3 linked regions of the Oreochromis niloticus genome follow. Each later gene encodes a partner of the first gene's protein in a complex. Links are inferred from orthologs where the notes say so. Each region holds a gene or a part of one and is shown on either strand. Other genes may lie near its edges. The genes, in order: dr1, yeats2 and mbip.

Region 1 (7,433 bases):
AAGAAAAGCACTAACCAGGCACGATGAACCAGAAGGTGGTACTCATCACCGGCTGCTCCTCTGGGATTGGCCTCGCATTGGCTGTCCATATTGCAAAAGATGAGAAGAAGAGGTTCATGGGTAACTTTTTAACAGACTTTTTCTAAGATAGCTGGGGTTGTTGACTACATTTCAAAACCCTGTGTCAGGAGGGATCAAAGGGAATCAAAGAAAAATATAATGTATTCAAATTGTGATTGAAAATGCTTCAAATGACAGAAATTAGAGGAAATATGTGGAAAAAAAAACTAGCACATAAGGGTGTAAAACATAATGGTGTTTTTCTTTTTGAATTTTTTGGAAGTGTGTAGGATGTTTTAAAATATTACCATCTCACATGTACTTGAACTTTACTTGAACTTTACATGGCTGCTGTGTCTGGCTCAATAATTTCTACTATGAACACTTTGCAGACTATTCATTAAAGTTAACTGTGTAAATGTAATACCATTTTGAAACCATTCACTAGAAAGATATTTACTTGATCAAATTCACATTATTTACATTATCAATATGTAATGGGTTTCTTCTACAAACAAAATATTGGTAAGTTCTTTTTTTAAAACTCTGGTTCCAGAAACAATCCACACAGCTCACCATCAACAGTTTTTATCTTAAACGTGTTTTATGGAAGAAATGGTCCTCCTGGTCTGTGGATTACCCTGAGTAACTATTAACCATGTCGTACTGATGTAACAGGCAACACCTGAAAGATGAAATCTGAGAAAAATCCACATTTGCCGCTCCTGGTGGAGATAAATTGTGATAGTTTCTCAAATGTAATGTAAAATTTTAATTTCAGTTCTGAATTCAATAAAAACACAACAGCTTCAGACGAGTTTTTGTTGTTGTAGTCTATGCCACCATGAGAAATCTGAGTAAGGCTGAGCCTCTGGTTGAGGCAGCAGGTCGGACCCTGGGCCGGACCTTGGAGATCAAGCAGCTGGACGTATGTGACGAGGCTTCCATCAAAGCCTGCGTGGACAGTCTGCCTGAGCGCAGGGTAGACATTCTCAGTAAGCTCCTACCATTTGCTTCAAAACAGTATTAATTTGGCTTTTCGACTGTCTATGGAAATTTAAATGATATGTGTGTATGTGACCTTATTTCACAGTAAGTAATGCTGGGATGGGTCTGATTGGACCCATTGAGTGTCAGTCTATTGAAGAGATGAAAAGTGTCATGGACACCAACTTCTTTGGACTTGTGCGATTACTAAAGGAAATCCTGCCCGACATGAAGAGAAGGAAAAAAGGTCATATTGTGGTCATTAGCAGCGTCATGGGGATTCAGGGTAAGAGCTGCTTCACCTGCTGATCACGAGAACATTTTTTAAGACAGTTGCTTCACAACTTCTTTCCCTGTTTCAGGGATTTTATTCAACGATATCTACGCAGCATCTAAGTTTGCATTGGAAGGCTTTTGTGAAAGCCTAGCGATACAAGCCCTGAGGTTTGGTCTGAAGTAAGATACTAAGTCTATAATGTTTTATTCCTGTTCATCTTTTACTGGCATTTTTGTGAGAAAAAAAGTGCAACAAAAACTAAACTACCTGAAAACCAGCCCTTGCATCTGGTATATTTGTGTAGTCATATTGCACAACAACACCTACCCCTTTCTGCACCATTAGGAGGAAAATATGCAAACCACAGCACACTGTGATGTTTAGGCATGTTCTAACACAGTATCAAATGGTAACTGAATTTTAGTGTGGTTTCTAAAGTTTCCTGTATAATGAAAGTAATATTTAATTACCTTTCACAGTTGTGCACTGAACTCAAGTTTCCTATTTCAAGAGATTTTTCCATGTTTTTTAATGTTCTTCTCTTCTATTTCTTCCTCAGCATCAGCCTGATAGAGCCAGGTCCAGTGATAACCGAGTTTGAGCGTAAGGTTTATGACGAGGGCCTAAAGATTGATCTCAGCAAAGCAGACAAAGTGACTGCTGACATGTTCACAAATGTCTACTTAAAGAACTACAAACAGATCTTTGAAACCCTCGGACAGACTCCTGAGGACGTGGCAGAGGTATCGTTCAGCAAATACTTCACCTTTAACCTTTAATGCACTACAAGAGCAATAAACTATATTATGAATGATCTTTCTTCGTAGCACACCCTCAAGATCATCATCATGGACAATCCCCCTTTCCGGCACCAGACAAACACTCTCTATACCCCTATGACCACACTCAAGTACGCTGACCCAAATGGTGACCTCCCGATTGAAACGTTTTACAAAATGGTGTTTGAACACGACAAGGTCTTCACTGCCAGCCTGAACTTCATCAAGCTTTTGCACTGGAGAAGCCGAAAGAGTTTTAAGTTAGAGAAGAGCAACTGAATCATGTCATATCTTTGTTATTTTTGTGACATGGGCATATTTGGCTGTTATTGTCTAGCAGTGTTACCTCCCTGAAATAAATAAAGCTATGAAATGCCATGACAATGCAGTCTCTTTTCATACGTGGCAGTAAGCTCCTGCAGGTTTAAACCACACCCTGGTGCATTCAAGTAGCATAACTGTCTTAAGTTGACAAGCCCTTGAGCCTTGTGTCATATGGGAAGCAAGCAAAGTTATACGAACAGCAAGATTAAATCAAAGTAAATCAGGTAGTTCGGAGTTATAACGACTAATTTATGAACTTTTTTTGTCTTTTTAAAAGCATTGTTTTGTTAATGGGTTCTGTTACAGTGTCAGAAGATTATGTATATCTTACATAATCTTAACAAATTTCCCACGTGTGTGACTAATAAAGGTTATCTTATCTTATCTTAAGCTGCTGGATTACATAACATAATTACTCATGGCTTAATCTGGAATATAGCCGTTGAATTCTGAGTCTCGCACCACGTGGACTTTAATGTGAGAAAACTTTTATGTATTTATTTTTTGTATGATATTGACAGGATTTGGTCAGAAAATTAAGCATGTTAGAATATAAAAAGAAAATAACAAAATAAAAGCTGGTATTCTCTTGGTGGACACTAGATGGCAGTAAACAATTATTAGGAAATTCAAACACCTGTGAAACCAGTCTGGATGCTGCTGAATATTGATAAGTCTAAAAATAAAATTGCAGAAACAGGGCCATAAATTACTGTGGCTCGAATTTGTTTCAGCAAGATCTGTGCTTGTGCTGAGAAAATATACATAAAAAAGCATTAGTAGACATGTTATCAGACGTACCCTTCCGGGGAGGAGATCACAGGGTTAAAAGAGATGCTCTTGATAATTATGTTTACCATAGGAGGGTAACATACAGTACTGTACAAAGATACTGGTTCACTACACGAACCAGTGTTGTGTAAACACATAACAGACAGCTTAGCAAAGAACCCATTCTAAACTGTGTCTTTAGGCACTTTGTTACTAGCAGCCTGTCGCCAAAGCACATAATTTGTTTCCATTTCTTTAGCTGAATCTACAGAAAATACCAAAGATAACACAATTTGACAGACATAAAATAGTGTTGTTGCACCAACAATGTGATTCCCAGTGAACTATTGGGCGAAAACCTGGCATATTGCGGCACTGTGTGCAGTTTTTTTTGGTGATAAAACTGGACAAGTGGAGGACAAAAGAAGAAGTGGAAGGTCTGAAAAACTGTGTACAGCAGATGAAAAGTCTCTGGAAGTCATGTCCTTAAGTAATACCGTCCAAAAAAATCCAGCAAAGACTATCAGTTGATCCATGAACAGAAGCTTCATTAGAAAAGGTTTCACTGGAACTATGGAAACAGGGAGAAATGGCTGAACTGGACTGAAGATCAGTGGAAACAGGTCTTATGGAGTGGTGAATATGAAAAACAAACAAAAAAAGTGAAATTCAGGAGATAGGTACAACCATGAGTGTCTAGAGTAATCTGTAAACTATAGTGAAGACTCTGTCATGATTTGAGTTTGCCTTTCAGCCAGTGGTGTACAGGATTTCTTCAAAATTGATAGAATTAGAGTCGGATTTTGATCTTCCACACAATACCATCTGGAAAGCACCTGATTGGCAACAGCTTCATATTTTAAAGATAATGTAGTAAAAACATACCTGGATATAAAACTCACACAATCATCTATGGATTGGCCTCATCTTTTATATTTTGGAGGCGAGGTGCATATGGGATGTGGTCCTCTGACTGTATACGAAATATTACTGTAGCTACCATCAAAATATATAGATAATGTAAGAAAGTACATATTCAGTTTATTTGTTTTGTTTTGTTTTTCCAGCATGTGTATTAATTCCCCAAGCATATGTTTTAAGGGCAGTAATGGACGACAACTACCACAAGGCCACAGCAATGCGACTCGAGGGGATTCAGACAGGCTTTAAACACCAAAGAAGAAGAATGGTATCCGGCTCTTTGTTTGACGTTGCATCCGGACTGAATCAAGCTAATGTTGCCCACATTTCAAACGTATAAAAGAATCGATACCATGTTTCTGCTTATCTGAAATGTCCGAATCATCTCTCGATGCAGGATAGAACAACAGGCAGTGTTGTGGCACGTGTGTCCTGTTTCTGTGTCTATGCAGCTAACTGTTTAGCCATGCGGGAGGCACTTCATTGTTAGCTTAGCGGTAGCCATGCTCTCCGCTTTCACTTGTTTTTTGCGTTGCGGCTTTCTGGCGACAGGGACCACAGCTACTAGCTAGCCTGGCTGCTAGCTAGCTAAGCACTTTTCACACAGTATTAACCTTTTGTCTTCTTTTTTGGTGTATGTGCTTTAGCGTTTTCTAACGGTTTCTTTTCTACCACATTCCTTACAAAGGCTCTACTCTGCGGAAATTGTTTCAACTATTAGCTAATAGCTAAGCTAGCCGGCTAACTTGGAGGAAGCGTCACTCTCCTACATGACATTTAACTCTGTGTTGACGTTGTCTTGACCTGACCGTTATATTTTAATTCTGCCGACACGAGAAGGCCTCCTAACAGTTTCCTTCCGTCGAGAATCGGAGTTGCTGTTTCTTTTTTTTTCTGGTTTCTGTCCCGTCGTCTGCCACGATGGCTTCTTCCTCTGGAAATGACGATGACCTCACCATCCCGAGAGCAGCTATCAACAAAATGATTAAAGAAACTCTCCCCAACGTACGGGTGGCCAACGATGCCAGGGAGCTTGTAGTTAACTGCTGCACAGAGTTCATCCACCTCATATCCTCAGAAGCCAATGAAATATGCAACAAGTCGGACAAGAAAACCATTTCCCCAGAGCATGTCATCAACGGTGAGTCCAGCTTTGTTTTCCCTGTACCCTGAAAGGTGTGTGTATGTGTGCAGCACCATGTAATGAGCCTTAAACCACAGAGAGTAATTAAAACACTTTCGCCTCTTGCTTTCGCACCGCAGCGCTCGAGAGCCTCGGTTTCGCATCGTACATCACGGAGGTGAAAGACGTGCTGCAGGAGTGTAAAACTGTTGCCCTGAAGAGGAGGAAGGCCAGTTCGAGACTGGAGAACCTGGGCATCCCTGAAGAAGAGCTCCTTAGGCAACAACAGGAATTGTTTGCAAAGGTATGATTTTGAGAGAGGCGTCACAAGAAACAGTAGCTCAGGGAACTAACTTCCATACCAGGTCATTTAGTCTAACCCTGAGGGGCCTTTTAATAATTAAGTTTAAAAAACAGCAAAGACATAATAAAATGATAAAAAGCAACTGTTAGAAAATGTCCAGGTGCTTCCAACAGCCACTGAACTGAGCATAGCTGTTTTTGAAGTTATGACTAGAGGAAATCATTTTGTGCTGCTTTCAGAGCCCACGAAAACAGTGGAATTGAAAATGTGAATTTATTGCTGCCAAACTGTGTTCTAAAAATAATTAAACAAACCAGCACAAATATGATTGCTCAGAAATGTTATAATAAACAAAATTATTGGACCAGAACTTCACATTATGTAGGGATCTGAGTTTTGATGAAGTAGGTCTTTTGCGATTGGTCTTTTGTTTTGTGCTAAGTTCCTTAGGAAATGAGTAAGCCTTTAGAGAGAAATACAACAAAGCCATGTCCGATTTAAATCATCTGTGTGCTGAGTGGCTGTTACACATAACCACTTGAGGCACATTATTTGCACTATACTGTTCACTAATGCATGACAGATCCATTTAGTTAACTTTCAGCAGTACTTTGCTAATTATTAACTCAATCCCTTTCTAGAAACAAGTATAAGCAAGTATAATTCAGCGATAGTAATATGTTGCAGACACTTTATTTTAATTTTTTTTTCCAATGTTCAGTGCTTATAATGACATACCACGAAAATGTCTTAAAATATTCAAGTTCTAATTAAACATCAGATATCAACCACCATGAGCTTCTCTAATTGCCTGATATAATCCTCATTCACCTTCGCCTGTCTCGTGTCTCTCTTGTGTTTGTGAAGGCGCGACAGCAGCAGGCAGAACTCGCTCAGCAGGAATGGTTGCAGATGCAGCAGGCCGCCCAGCAGGCACAGATGGCGGCAGCATCTGCCACTGCTGCCCAACAGGCCGGTTCCTCTCAGGATGAAGACGAAGAGGATGACATATGATCCCAGGATACTGTTCAGCTTGTCCGAATCCCTTCCTGGGACAGTGTTGGCGGGCAAACCTCCCAGTGCTGTTGTTGACAGAGACTTGAGATGTGTTTGACCGCTGGTGCACATCAGTGACACAAGGAAAATGCACATTTGGTATTGACAGTGGAGATGGAGTTGGAGGGGAATGTCAACATGATGATACCAGAACCTGAAATTTGTTTGGTTTGAAAAGCTGTTAATAAAATTTTGATTATCCCCCTGCCCCCCCCCCCCCCCTTTTTTAAGTTACTTCCGTTTAATTAAGTCTTGATGTTATGTTGTGAGTAATTTGTAGATTTCTGGATGTACTGTGGATGCACTGAAGGCACATTTCACTGAAGTTTGGTGATGGTGCAGCAGGTGTTTGCTCTTTCAGGTACTGCACCAACTAGCTTGTTTATGTCAACCATAGTGCTAGATAACAATCAGTGGTGTAGGCGAATCGCTCCTGACGACTCCAGAGCATCTAATTCCTCTTCTCTTGGTCTTTGCCATTTTGTCAAAAAGGGTTTTCTTTACCCCTCTGTGGAGTTATTTGTTCGACAGTGGAAGGATTGAGGGGCCGTGAATATTGAAATTGTACTATTAAATAATGAAAAATACATTTTTGTTTTAGCTTATTCAGAAACGTTATGTTGTTTCCTTTCTACCTTGAACTACACACAGTATTGGTTCTTAGCTGCACCTTTGAAAAACTGAATATTTTTGTCTGATAGAACCAAAGATAGACTAACAGCCCAGAGTTCGTGTTTTGTTTTCTTTTTAAGGTGTAGGTGCTACTGTGATTCTCATTGCTGACTCCAGATCAGTGTGAATAATGTTAAATATTATTAACCTATAACTTTG
Region 2 (7,600 bases), on another chromosome or scaffold:
TGCTAATGCCTTCTAAGCTGTATATTTTGCTCCTTTTTAATTATTATTATTTCACTCATTATTGCCTTTTTTTGGTAAGTTATATTTATCCGTGCCTATTTTTTTATAATTGGATGTTTATTGTATGATAAGTAGTTAGGTCGACGTTAATCCATCGGTGTACTGGGCTTGTGGGGTGGTTTTGTGGATGTGAAGCCTTTTGTGGATCAAACTTGTAGACTGCTCTGAATAAATGGTGTGCATGTCTGGTGTGTGTGTGTGTGTCTGTGTGTGTGTGTGTGTGTGTGTGTGTCTGTGTGTGTGTAAGGATATTGTGTGACTTTTACTGCTTGGTCTGGATGCTTTGGGAGCCACGCAGGTTTATCACAGAGTTGTCGTGCAATGCTGCCACATCTCACCTGTACACTTACATGTAAAGATGTAACTCGGGGTAACCATAGATACCTCCAGGTGTGTATGCGTGTATGTGTGTTGAATGGTCAGCTAAGGTGGCGGGTGCGGCAGTGCTGGCCCTCACACCGTTGGCGGGTTTAAGAGTTGAATGATGAGGATTTTGGATGGTGTGGCTCTTGGTCAGTAAAAGTCACCTTTTAATACAATTGGTGTTGATAGATTGCTGTGAATATACAGTTAACTTTGTTTTCTTTAACTTGTATTTAAATGTATCTTTGTATCCTTATTTGCATAATATGTTCTCTTGAGAGCCCCAATTGTGCACTTTGACAGAATCCTGTTAAATGTAGAACTTTATGACAATGATTTCCTTTTTTACTGTATCAGTAAATGTTCTTTGCTTTCATGTGACGTATAGAAAAGAGAGTGAAAAGGGCCTGTCAGCTCCTCCTGTTGGCCACTGCCTCCTACGCTTTGATGCGCTGAAAAAACCAGCAAATATTGCTGCAAAGGAGGCAGTGTCGTCATAACAGTTTCAGTTTTCAAATTTTAGGGATTTTTGAATTTGTCACTCAGCACCATTACGTAATATCCTTTAAGAACAGCTCAGGTCATACTTCACCTGTCAGGTATGATAACAAAAATATGTAGGGGGAAGTTGTTGGTTTTTTTACATAAACATTCTTCACATTCCTCCAAATGGAGGTCAGGTTAAGGAGCAGTACAGGTGGAAAAATGAAGCACCTCCTGATTCACCTGCTTGCAGAAGTCAGGAGGAGCGACGGGTTGAGTTGGGGGGCAGGAAAGCGGAAAGGCAGAAGCATGGGAGTGAGAAAGTGAGAATCTGAGTGTGTGTGCGTCTGTGATTTCACTGAGTATTTACTCTTAAGTAGGGCACAAACTCATGTTGTGCTGATTTATTGATTTTCATTAATGTCTTTCATGTATTATTGACTTCTGATAAGAATATCCATCGTTTTGTTTTTTTGTGTGTGTACTGTTTTGTTTTGTTTTTAAATCTTTTGCTTGTTGTGGTGAGTTGTGGGATCGCGTGTTGCTGAGAACATAAAAAGGACGTGCAGCAGATTACACCCAAAAAACCTGAGGGTTACAAGTTGCTCACCAGAGTTAAATATTAACACAGATAAGAGCCACATTTGAGACAATCCTGAAGTCAGTCTTGTTGGAAAAGCACCACCTGTGCCTTGCCTTGATGTCAAGAGATGTAACCCCTTAAGTGCTGCCCTATGTGCCTTAACCAGAGATTAACGAGTGAGCAATTACATCAGATAATTGTGATATACACTGCTATTATTGTGTGCATGATGTGTGATACTTTTACAACACTTTTCTTGTGCTCTTTGTTTTTTAAAAAAAAGCTTTCAATTTTTGTAAAATGCAGTATGTTGAATTGTAATGGTTGAGTTGTTTATGAGAAACGTCAATAAAGTTTTTCTTAATGTATCAAAGCTTTGCTGTGACTCATCATTGTTAACAAATGAAAGTCTACAAGAAAACAGTGATGCACCTGTTCAGATGCTCATTAATGCAAATTCCTGCTGTGATAGCCTCAGTGTCTCGCTCTTAGCTGACAGGAGTGTCACCTGGTGCGGTCTTCTGCTGCTGTAGCCCATCTACTTCCAGATAGGGCGTGTTGTGCATTCAGAGATGCTCTTCTGCAGCCTGTGATTGTTAACAGGTGATGATTTGAGTTATTGTTGCCTTCCCGTCATCTTCAAGGTTTATGGCCATTGTCCTCTGACATCGACGAGGCCTTTTTGCTCAGAGAGCTGCCGCTCACTGGATATTTTCTGTTTTTTGGACCTTTCTCTGTAAACACCAGAGATGACTGTGTGGGGAAATCTCAGTAGATCAGCGGTTTCTGAAATACTTATTCCTTTCTTGAACTTCAGCAGCTCATTCATGGCAAAACGCATTGAATTGCTGCCATGTTAGGCTGATTAGATATTTGCATTAGGTAATGAGCAGCTGAACAGGTGTAACTGACAAAGTGGCCACTAAGTAAATTGTCAAACATGTTCATTACATTGAGGATCGTCTTCATGCCAGCAGTGGAGGTAACTCCTCCAAGAGAAGATATCCTGATTTTTATGTTCCCTTCTCAAACAAAATATAAAGTTTTCACTCAGTTTTACAGAAATCAGAAGGCTGAGATGAAAAGCGATTCTTGTGGTCAGTGTGACGCATGCGATAAATGTGCCCCGAGAAGTTGTGCTTTTTCTCAATCAAGCGATCGTGAGCACATCCGTTTTCACAACAGACCAGCCATAAAACGAATGGAAACAAAGTGATTTATGTATTTCATCGAAACCACAACTATTGTCCCACAAATATCCATGAAGATGTCACAAAAGAAGAGATGCGCCATTTGGGTTTTGTTGCAAGTTGTAGCAATCTGCTCCACAGAGCTGTGGACACTGTATTCACCAAGGGATGAGTCAATCACGCTGGTGATGTTTTAATGAGTCATTGTGCTGAACAAGGGGACAGTGTTTAAAAGCAGCCGCACTTTTTAAAGTAGGATTGAGCAACCCATGCTTTATTATCAGGCCCTTTTTATTTAAGTCTCATGTGATTTATATTCTCCATATTATGCTTTGGTTTAATGAAAACCACAAAGAATCCTCTCACAGATTCTTACCATCTCGCTACATTTACACCAAACATTATGGGAAAAATTGAAGCCATGCCTTACCCATACATCTGTGTTCTGATTTATGCAAAGAGCTCATCAGGGACATGCATTCTCAGACAGGATAATGCTATACAGTACATTAATCAGCTGTGATTATAAGATTTTTGGCACTGACAGCATGCTGTCACCTCAGTTATCCAGCTGAGTGCCAGCTACTATAAATTACTGAGGATGCCAACTCTGTGGTACAGCTGCAGGCCTGATCTGGTTTGAGTAAAATGCTAGGTTCTTGGCCCTGGCAGGAAAGGGCCAGAGGTTGGAGTAGTGCTGCAGCTCTCAGCCCACCTGCTCACCCACTGAGCTAAAGAGACATCCATATTAATTAAAACTTGACTGGAAAATACTGCAACTAGAGGCACATTTACACACTCACATGTGCACATCTCCAGGTCTCTCTTGGAAATGAGATTTTTAATCTCAAGTGAGATTTTGACCTGGATCAATAAAGGACTAATAATAATTTTAAAAAAAAGTCCAGGTCTCCAAAAATCCCCATTTCAAAATACATGAAAAGCTGAAAGGAGTGTTTTGTTGTTTTGATTAATGTACTTAGAATATGTAAATTGATCAACTGATGGCGGTTAAATCATGAGGTTAAAGTATCAGTATCGAATTTCATGTTGGTATCGACAATACTGGCGCTGTATTTACTTCGGATCCACAGGAAATTTAACAGGATGTTGTTTGATCTTCTTCTCTGCTTCATTAAAAGGAAATGTGAACGTGATAGGACAATTCATTGCAAGAGAGCAGCAAAGTAATGTGTAACACTGAAAAGGTGCCCATAGGTGTAGAAGTTATAGAAAAGGTTTGTTTGGAGTGGCTTTCTAGCAACACCTGTTTTCTGTTTAATTGCCTTTAGAATCACATGTTTACTGTGTAACTGATGTCTGATGAAGTGTGAAGCTCCGCTTAAGCTAAATAAGATGAACTGATCCCCTTCTTGTCTGGTGTTGTTTGCCTTCTAATTCGTGGCATGCAGCCTGTCAGCGGTTACAAGCTTAAACATGTTAGACTAATAGTAACCTATGATAGTTAGAATATCGCATGCTCATACACGGGGTTACTCAACTCTGTAATGTAATGTAATACCTCCAAAGAGTTCCACTGAATCAGACACAAAAAAAACTTCCTGCAGTGATAACACTGGAGTAAAATCCCCGTAAAGTTCTTTAGAATAGACCATGATGGCTGGTTGTAATGAAGTTTGACAGGTATGCATGCCATCTTCACCGCTGTTTATGAATATCTTGTCAGAGTAGTTAGTTTACTAAGGGCTTGTAAGACGGGTTACGCTGTTGATCACGACAATAAAACATCCTTTCCAGGGAAGCAATCTTCTGAAAGGTGACAATACCTATCATTCCACGCCTCGTTTTCAATCAACTTGGTAGAACAGCGGTCCCTTGTGGCTGTTTGGCTAAACTGCAAGGCTAACTATCCACTATTTAGTTAGCTTACTTGTAGAGCTCGAGATTTAGCAATTCCCTAAACACGAGTGTGGTCTGAGTATACTAAAAACGCAACGGATATGCTCACGTTGAATTAAAAAAACACACGCCTTTCAAAGAAACGTTGCTCCACATCACAGAGTACTCCTGAAAATTTGCATTTTGTACAGCCTGAACCGGTATGTATGTACAACTGTGTGCTAACGTTAGCTAAATTAGCAAGGTTAGCGGTTGCTAACGTCAGAGAACTGTTGGCTGTATGGACGGTATGTGTATATTTATTTATCATATCGGTGGTGAGACACACTAAAATGCGATGTGCATTCTTGTTAAATGAATCTTAGACAATTGGTCGACAGTTTGAAATAGCTTGGTAGGTAGTGGACAGCCTGCTAACTCATGTTGGCATACCTGTTTGGCTAATCAGTACTGAGGTTAGCTGTGGGCATTGCTGTCAATTATCTATAGCTTCCCTGCTATGCAGCTAATTCTGTGCTAAGTGCATAGCAAATCATGTACATCACAGCATATAAGTGATTAGCTACACGTTTTCTAATTATAGCCTTCTTTACAGGAAGCCATGTCGGGAATTAAAAGGAAGATAGAGGGCAATGATCCCGACTATGAGGACGTTTCTCTGGTCCAAAACAGTAAGAGAAACAAGGCGGCTGAACATAGTGGTAAGTTCATGCTCTGAACCCTGAGCCAGTACACTTGCTTTGCTTGTTGTGGTCAAAATTAGCTATCAGTTGTGCCCTGGTCTTGTAGATATGTTCATTCCCTCTTCCCTATTTTATCCAGCTCGAGAAGCAACAGTTCAGAAGATTGAAACCATCATCAAGGAGCAATTTTCTTTGGAGATGAAGAACAAAGAGCATGAGATAGATGTGATAAGTCAGGTATTCAGATGATACTTTCTTTTAAATCTGTATTTTACTTGTTACTGCATAAAAACTTAACATGGACAATAACTTGGAGTTAAGTGTAATATTCAGCATGCCGGCTCACTGTTTTTCTTTGCTTTGCAGCGTCTTAATGAAGCCAGGAGGATGATGGACAAGCTCAGGGCATGCATAGTAGCTAATTACTATGCCAGTGCTGGACTGACAAAGCTCTCAGAGGTAAATTCCCATTCATTTGGACACAGAGTTTGATGATACAGCCTCAAAATTATATGATGATATTTGAAGAAAATTTGCAAGAAAAATATTTCTGACAGCGCAGGAAAAAATATACCAAACAACATTTTATTGATGTTTGCAGGTTGCAGCATTTATAGGTGTAGTGAGTTAAAGGTATTTTGTATTATGCTATTCTAATGAGCTGCAGTCATTGTTGGCAATCTTAGTAATTTAAAGTATTTATCTTGTGAAACAGGTTGCCGGCATCAGCATTGTAGTGCAATAGTAGCGGTACACAGCAAGTCAAATGTACACACAACAGTAGCCCTAGCTATTGTTTCCCCTGGGAAGTAAAAAATATAAAATAACACTTTAACTGAACAGTTGTTAAACTAACTTAACTATGTAAATCTTAATATTCTTTTCCACCTGGGATGTTGTTTCTTATGTAGAGCTTTTTCACCAGTTGCTTAAATCACTGTGTTTGTACTGATGCATCCACATTTTTATCTAATCCCCCCCTGTTTGCTTTTCCTGTCATCTGGAGTGCATCTAGCGTGTGAATCAGTGATGCTTGGTGGAGTCTTTTGTTGACATTTAGGTTGCACATCAGCAGCTCTTAGTATCTCCTCCTGTGTAGCCTGGTTGTACTTTATGGTGTTTATTTGCTTCAAGTGGTGAAACACATTTGTAGCTTCCACCTTCAGCTGGAACAGTTTCCTTGCATGTTTTGAAAAATATTGTCCTTTTGTTCAAGGTTGTTGAAATAGATCCCTTTTTAGGTACTAAATTGGCTCCTTAACAGGAACATATCCCGACTGGTCTCATTGTGCCATGCACTATGGATCATAAACAAATGGCATAAAACTTTATAGTGGTGTTATTGCAGACAGTAATAGCCAGCTGTCTGCTGCTCTATGTGGTAGTACAGTATAGAAACACTGACCTAAATTTCTTCTATGTTCCATAGCATACCTCCAAGAGCGACCCTGCTGTGCTGAACCATCCGGCCATCCGACGCTTCCTGGAGTCTCCTTCCCGTTCTTCTTCCCCTCTCAACCAGGGCTCCGAGACTCCATCGTTGGTCCAATCAGAGTCTGAGTCTCTCTCACAGCAAGGAGACGGTGCTGAGAGGAATGGAGAAGGAGCCTGGAGAGAGGAGAGCAGCAGGCAGGAGCGCAGACCCGGACGCAACACAGGCAAAGTAAGTTCAGCTGGCAGAAATTGTGGGTTTTTTGACCTTTTGATGATCGGTGACTAAAAGCGTTGCCTTTGTTGCTGTAGGACACATTCGGTGTGCCGTCGTCTGCAGAGCAGAGAGTGACCTACCACACTACTGGAGACGATGCATCTAGACTTTATGCGAAGAAGACAATCGTAGTGGGAAATGTATCCAAGTACGTAACCAAATTAAAAAATGTCTGTCATTTCTTTGTGACTGATTCAGTAAAAGAACTAGATCTTACAATCCCTGATAATGCATTGGTTCAAATGGAGAAAGTCTTGAGGGATGGCTGTTACGAGGAAAGGCAGCCCAGAAATTTTACCAGCTAGACACATTGTTGTGTGCCTCAACTTTACAGGGTGTTTCGGTCTTTTACCCAGGCTAATCTGCCATTTTTCCTTCCTTGGTTAGGTTTAGGGATTAGAGATCTGATCTAGATTATCATATTAAAAATTTGGGACACATCGTCAGTAGTGGACCTTGGATTCATCGGGTGTTTCGGCCATTATCACTAGACACCCTCATCCAAGGAGGCCCTGCCAGGGTTGATCAGGCCCTGGCTTATGTTAAATTGTTATTTCTCTTTTATGTTATTTCTTTGGTGACTAATTACATTGTAACAGACTTTTCAGATTAGAGGTCAGAATCTTCTTAGTAACTGTAAAAGGTTTAAATTAACAACTACAAGACAAAA
Region 3 (6,985 bases), on another chromosome or scaffold:
TTTATCTTGAAAGGTGCTATACAAATAAAAACTTTGAATTTACTAATTTACTATTTTTGTTGCCAGTTAAGTAATGGTAATTGACTTACATCCTAAACTATGTTGCTAATCATAAACTTAAACCCGATAAACATGGTACTATTGTCAATAATTGATACTGTATCACCAGCCCGAACGTGTTGGTATCACACAACTCAAGGTCCTGGGGTGAGTGGGAATAGAGGCAGGGAACATCCTCGGCAGGTCACCACTCCATCACAGGGTTCAGCAGAGAGACAGACAACCACACGCTCTTACATCCACACCAATTAACAAGTACAGCTTTGGATGGTGGGAGGACTCCTAAGCACCTAAAAGCACAGTCTAATGACTAGTTGTCTAGTGTAAAAAATAAAAAAATGTATTTGTGTTAAAAAAAAAGTGTTTCTATCAACTGAATAGTTTTATTCTCCAAAATATAATAGCTTTATTTCTTTGTATAAGCCATCACATATAAAAGTCCATCTAATTATATATGTATAAATGCTTGTATATAGATATAGATTTACAACAGTTTATGAACTAGTAGGAGCCCAAATAAACCTTTTTCTGGGACAACAGCCTTAGTATAGGGAGACAAGCGAGGATGTGTGGCAGTGTAACAAGGAGAAACAACAGCAAATAGAAAGAGAACTGCAGTTGATGGGTCTGCCAAACAAAGCAGTTCTTCCACTGTTACACTTCATAGGGAGGATTAGGAGTTCAGTGGGAATCTGTGGCCAAGTGGACAAAAGTGACAGCCCAGTGATTTCCACTATATGAGTGGATATAGAAGACAACAGTACATAAACATTTTACCCTTACAGTTCATGCACATGTAAATACTGCTTATTTTTGCATGCATCATTCCAAAAGTGTTGTAAGAAATGTGCCAAAGCAGTTCAGAAAAAATCTGTAAAAAACAACTGAAATAACTCTCAAATCCAGCACCATGACTACAGTCTTTTTAATGAACATTTTTCTGCAAAATTTACATTTGTTTCCACATATATCTTTTTATTACTTAAAAGCAGTACGTAATGAGCTGATCTGTGGGAAGCTTGGTCCCAAACTCACAAGAAAGGAATACTTTTAATTATTCCTCTCTGGGGGAAATGAGACAAAACCTTCTTACTGCAATCCACTTCGCTCTTTACATTGTGCTGCCTCTTTCTCCTGATCCTCATGTCTGGCCTTTACTCCGTCTCATGCTCTGTCAACATAATCTGCCACCGTGCAGCAGACAGGCTCAAAAGCGGACCTTTTTACTTTCCTGCAGGTGGCTGATGTGACTGAGGCAAGAGGCAGCAACAATCCCTCTTCACTCACTTCCCTCTAACACTAGGACCACCTTATTTCCTGTATAGCACAAATTCCCTCTGCCTGCCAAGAACACATTCTTGTAAAGCAAAGAAAAAAAAATCTTATTAAGTTGCACAAAGAACCATTAAGGTATCCTTGTAACACTTTTCAGCAATTCTCTATAATGGCTTCAGCATTTACAAGCAGTGCATAAATACTTAATAAATGGTTATAAATTGTCATTTTATGTTAGGAATCTACAATTAATATGATTTAATAACAGCAAGAAAAACCAGAGGTCAAATCATTCTCTGGAAACAAGTTAGCGCATTTAAATCAGTTTGCCGTACCTTACTTTCAGCCAATTAGATAAATAAAGTACCACTTATGTTGATGCATCAGTAATAATGACCCTGCCAACAATGACTAAGGCCGTTGTGCATGAACTTTTACTTGTAAAGGAATATTTTTAGGCTGTAGCACTTGTAAATATTTCTTCAGCCACTGGTTTTTTAATCCTCTAAAACTGTTTTTAAGATGTAGGAACATATTAGAGGAAAAGGTGACATTTAAAGATTGTGAATATCTGTAATACTTAGTTTTGGTTTCGAAATGTAAATATAGCTAAATGTAAAAACATTGCGCTCAAGTAGGTTATCATGTTTTTTTAATGGCTCATATAAATGCCTTAAATCACAACTCTTCCCCCGTTAGAAGAATAAACAGCTCTTTGGTCTGAAGCCAGCCAAATTAAATGAGCAGTTTTTTAATTTCTGAGCGCCTTGCTGTGTGGGAACATTCAGCAATAGCTCAGCATGTCAAACCATGTCAAGTGTTACAGTTCCTTCCTGTTTTGGGGGGAAAAATATCACCCCAGAGATGAATTAAAGTAAAAAGGCTTGTCTTCAGACCCCTTCCTAAAATGATTAACCCTCCTAAAGAGCATTATTGAGTTCTGAGTGGTTGTGCCTTCTCTTTGCCTGTAATTGTTCTTTTTCTGTTGTTTCCTTCATCAGTCTCTCTCCTCATTATATGAAAAGAAGGGAAAAATGTCTGAATAGAGGAGGGAGATTTTCCCACAGTCACTCAACACAGAAAAATACGCCATTGTAACCAGGTTCCCATCCCAATGCCCTGCTGCACAGTCCACTGCGGTCAGAGGGACAATATCTTTATAATTGAGTGACCATTCTTTCGCCTGTTTGAAAAGTAAGTGACTGAGAATACAGTTAACGGCACATTTGAGTGAGTTCAGTTTCCAGGGAGCCATGCCTAATACATACATACATATATATATATATATATAAAATTTTATATAGTACAATGTTTTAAACTAAAAGTAATAAAATTGTGGATCATATAAATATACAAGCATTGACATTCTAAACATAAAGTAAAAATTAAATTAGAACAATATTCAGCAGTTATGCTGCTAAACAGATAAACATGCCATAAGACGACAGAGAATAAAATGACTTTAAACATGCTTTAAAAGGCATTAAAAGAGAAAGTTCAGAGACTGGACATCTTTGGGCATTTAATAATATGTTCCAGACGTGGCACTACTTACAGGCTTGTTTTCAGGTAGAGAATACAAGTCATAAAATTATTTTGTTAATATTAAAATAATATTTCATTGTTCGTAGAACTGTCTACCAGTGTATGACGTTAAAACATTAGCTTAATAACTTGACTAGAGGCAATAATAAAATGTTGCTTGACTGCTAATAGATTACTGTATAAAACCACAGGGTCACTAATGCATGAAGAGGGCTATTATAGTTGATGATAGTCATTAATAAGCATATTTGGTTTGGATTTTATGGGAACAGATTGAAGAGAAGTAGAAATAGTTGGGTAAAAGATGAAATGTGCATGATATGTTTGGAAATAAAGCTGTAAAACAGGTTTTTCAAAGTTTTATATAATCAGTTTTTCTATATATAGATGCTCTTAACCACCCTGTGTCGAAGAACAGTTGAAAGATTTTTAAATTTCACATTTTATAACTTTATTTGTTTTTTGTGCTTCTCTATTTGGGTTCTTTTTCGATTTGCTAACATGGAGTCTGATCATATCAAGTATCAAGTATCTAATATCTATATCTACAGAAAACTTATATATACTTATATATATCTATATATATATATATATATATCTATATATATATATATCTATATATCTATATATATATATATATATATATATATATATATATATATATATATATATATATATGAGCTTTCTGTTCCCCTGACGTCCTGTTATATTTTTAGAATGTATTTGTAATTGCAGTTTTTAAAAAGTTGATCCTTGACTTTAAAAATTATGTAAACAATTTTCCTTTCAATCTGTTAAAAGACTGAAAAAGAGAAATGCCTTAAAGCTTTCAGAAATACTTGCACAATACAACCCAGTAAAATTAGTGAATTTAATTTAAGCATTTATCATTACTAGTAATTTTCGCAGTAATATTAATATTCTCACAACTACGGTTGTGTGCGTGTACGCATGCGTGTATGGAGCCTCGACTTCGTTAAGCGCGCACACGCAGGAACCTGCACTCGAACCAATCAGCGCACAGTATTCTTCGGCTTGTCGAACAGCAATGGCGGAGGCAATGAAGCTAAGTAGAAATCATGCTCCTCCCAGTGACTCCAGTAAAATGTCCAGCTATACAGACTGTATGGATTCGTTACTGCAACTGCTAGCAGACTTCGGGGAAGAGGTTTGTTTGGATTGTTTAAGCTGCCTTGTTTCGGACATCGCTCCTTTCAGTCCGGGGTGTTGGCTGGCTGCATGCTAATGTTTTTAGCAATGTGGTGTTAGCAGGGCTGCTTAGCGGACCCACACTGTTCATTCATTGTCACTCACACAGCGCTCTGGTGCTGTTTTTGACAAGCAGGTTGTTGCAAAGTAACTGTGCTTTAAATGGTTCAGTGTTGTTTTGAAAGTAATTTAAGATATAAGATCGAGCTTGTGTCTTGACTGGGCTTAACTAGGCATTCTGTTTCATCAGTAACAGCAAAGTTTCATGTCATTATCCCTGTTGCCGTGCTTTTTTTTTGCATCTCGTATTGGATTGAATACACATCTAAATAAACCTCTTTATCCCATACATGCAGTAAATGATCTCAAGCCCTGTTTTTGTGTGGTAAAGCACAAATAAAATATGCAGTGGATAAAATAAAAGCATCGCCTTTCACTCGCTTTATGAATCTAACTTCATTATTTTCCTAAGTCTGGGGTAACCTTATTTTTAATTATGTATTTATTGACCACCACTGCAAAGCCAATATATATATTTTACAGTGACAAAAAACAGCTGAAAACAAGGGGAAAATAATCCTTTATTCTACATTAAATTGAAGCTGATACCACCAAATGCTTTTTCTTGAACAGTAACAAATCAGTTGCCCAGTTAATTATCAAAAATAATTTATGTATTTTCACATCAATCAATTGTAACTTGCATATATTAGACAAATGTATATATTGTCCTGCTAGCATGCAATTGTATGTTAAATGCTGATTCACAGTAACATCCACACTTTGTCTGTCCTGAAATTAAGCTGAAATTTGGGGATGCTGCTTTGAAAATAGATGTCAACCCCAGCGCTGTGAATCTTCAATCATCTCCACCTGCTCATGTTTACAGCTCATTACAAGGACATATCGCTAAATTACAGGTAAAAACATTAGAGGAATTTTAAGAGCTGACATAGATTATTATGCAGCTTTTTATTGTGTTATCATTGCAAGGGAAAAAAAGTAGATTAGAATTAACAATTTAAAATTTTGAATTTTCGATTATTCTTGGGAGCTTTAAATAATTACATCTAATTCTTCTTTCTGACGTGCTCTTTATTTAGGCTGTTTCAGAAAGCCTAAAGGTGTTGTTGGATGCTGAGGCTGATGCATCCTCTTTCAAGAACACATCAGAAGATGCTGTCACCTCATCTTCAAGCAGCGCACAGACAGCCACGCAGTCTGAGCACCATCCGCACAGCTCCGGGGCTACAGAGAGCAAGGCGGCGGCTGATGACGTCATGGTTCAGATCCGAGCTGGGAAGTCAGAGGTTGGTCGCTGTCAGCAGATCTGTCAGCTGTTCTGGCAGTGAAATTTTAGAGCCCTCTTTACACTCTGTCAAGCAAATGAATAATCATAAGTAATTGCTCCAGAGGATGTGCACATGACGTGCCGCAGCAAAGCAAATGCTTGATGGAGACCTGATAAGCTGAGTTCGGTTGAGAATAAGGGGTCCTTTAGTGCTGCGGTGGGGTAGAACAGACCACATTGCTGGAGGGTTTTGAGAGAGGGCCAGGTCCTTGATGGATTATGAAGTGGATGCTCATTACTCTGAGATTGCATGTGGATGAAGGACAAGAGGCCCCATTCTGTTGTGCATTTATTTTGGTAGCCAAGCAAACAGTATTCATATTCCATCATGTGATGATGGCAAGCAGTTCAACTTTTTTGGCTACCTGGAATTTTCTGAAATGTAAATTGCCGCACCCTATTTGTCCCACATCATTATCATTAAATAGTCAAAAACATAGCATTCTTGCCACCTCATCAATCCATTGTATCTTATTATGTTGTCTTCATTGTAACCCTAGATTGAGCGAAGAATATCTGCATTTATGGAACGCAAGCAGATGGAGATCAATGAAAACAATGTACGCGAGTTTTGCAACGTGATCGACTGCAATCAGGGTGAGAATGGGAGAGAGGTGGGGGGGCAGGGTGGAGAGGGTGCCTGCACACAGATTGCCAATGTTTGGGAGAGAGCTGATTTCCACAGGCGAGAGGTCAGGCTGAACTGCTCCAAGAGTGGGGCTGAAGTAGCTAACACACTCGGCCTCAAAACACAACCCGCTTAGTCCAGAAAAACACGAGACAGAAGAACCTTTTTTAAATTCAAAGCCTGTGTGAGACACCAGTAACAGAAATCAGGAGTAGTTGTTATTCAGGTGTGATATACATATACAGCTTTTGGTAATCATGTTTAATTGCATTTGGTAATTCTAATTGCAATTTATATTAAATGTGATCGTCTGTAGAAAACAGCTGTGCCAGAACAGATGCAGTATTCACTCCTTACCCGGGTTTTAAAAGCCACGTAAAAGGTAAGAAAATGTCACAATTCTTAACAGCTTAATTTTTAAACTATCATTTGTGTAATTAAACTAAAACATGTTGTTAACTAGAATCTGTTTAGGACTGAGTTGTATCTTCTGTGTTTGTTTCTTGGCTGGGCAGTCACACGAGTAGTAAACACTTACGGACCCCAGACCCGTAGTGGGGGAGACCAAGCAGAGGCTGGGGATAAACAGAGGGGGCCGCTGATGAGAGATTGTGGAAATGTAGCCATAGAGGAACGACTCAACAACATCGAGGCTCACCTCAAACTTCCAGCAGGTGAGAGACAGGAAGTTATTGTAAGGCTCAAATTATTTTTGTCTTGTATATAACATTATACATTATATTTAACTGAGAAATTAAATGATACCTTTTATTGGCACTGAATTTTTTACTTATAGTAAGCCTTTATTTATACAGTGATCTATTATTTGGTTTATCTGCTGTTATCAGTCATTCTTTGTTTGCTCCCACAAGTCTTGTGCAATAATAAATTTTCAAACTGTTCAACAAGTGTTTTAC

The links.
Region 2: dr1 (region 1) and yeats2 share a complex: the UniProt entries of both Homo sapiens proteins name them as parts of the ADA2A-containing complex. The link is inferred for Oreochromis niloticus from reciprocal best matches to the Homo sapiens genes DR1 and YEATS2.
Region 3: dr1 (region 1) and mbip share a complex: the UniProt entries of both Homo sapiens proteins name them as parts of the ADA2A-containing complex. The link is inferred for Oreochromis niloticus from reciprocal best matches to the Homo sapiens genes DR1 and MBIP.

What each region holds. Positions count from the first base shown.
Region 1 is NC_031986.2:31,177,564-31,184,996, reverse strand, and holds the start of dr1 (protein Dr1), read left to right. Parts: upstream 1-4,350; 5' UTR 4,351-5,040; coding exon 5,041-5,260; intron 5,261-5,382; coding exon 5,383-5,546; intron 5,547-6,413; coding exon 6,414-6,560; 3' UTR 6,561-7,433. Other genes in the region: zgc:109982 (retinol dehydrogenase 8), read left to right, coding at 24-120, 894-1,055, 1,154-1,333, 1,410-1,503, 1,884-2,067, 2,152-2,382. UniProt on the Homo sapiens protein: The association of the DR1/DRAP1 heterodimer with TBP results in a functional repression of both activated and basal transcription of class II genes.
Region 2 is NC_031982.2:14,309,226-14,316,825, reverse strand, and holds the start of yeats2 (YEATS domain-containing protein 2), read left to right. Parts: upstream 1-4,521; 5' UTR 4,522-4,739; intron 4,740-4,806; exon of another isoform or gene 4,807-4,826; intron 4,827-5,134; 5' UTR 5,135-5,140; coding exon 5,141-5,240; intron 5,241-5,361; coding exon 5,362-5,459; intron 5,460-5,588; coding exon 5,589-5,681; intron 5,682-6,651; coding exon 6,652-6,885; intron 6,886-6,965; coding exon 6,966-7,078; intron 7,079-7,600. UniProt on the Homo sapiens protein: Chromatin reader component of the ATAC complex, a complex with histone acetyltransferase activity on histones H3 and H4. YEATS2 specifically recognizes and binds histone H3 crotonylated at 'Lys-27' (H3K27cr).
Region 3 is NC_031983.2:18,731,577-18,738,561, reverse strand, and holds the start of mbip (MAP3K12-binding inhibitory protein 1), read left to right. Parts: upstream 1-3,875; 5' UTR 3,876-3,928; coding exon 3,929-4,048; intron 4,049-4,892; coding exon 4,893-5,009; intron 5,010-5,192; coding exon 5,193-5,399; intron 5,400-5,940; coding exon 5,941-6,037; intron 6,038-6,384; coding exon 6,385-6,450; intron 6,451-6,583; coding exon 6,584-6,742; intron 6,743-6,985. UniProt on the Homo sapiens protein: Inhibits the MAP3K12 activity to induce the activation of the JNK/SAPK pathway. Component of the ATAC complex, a complex with histone acetyltransferase activity on histones H3 and H4.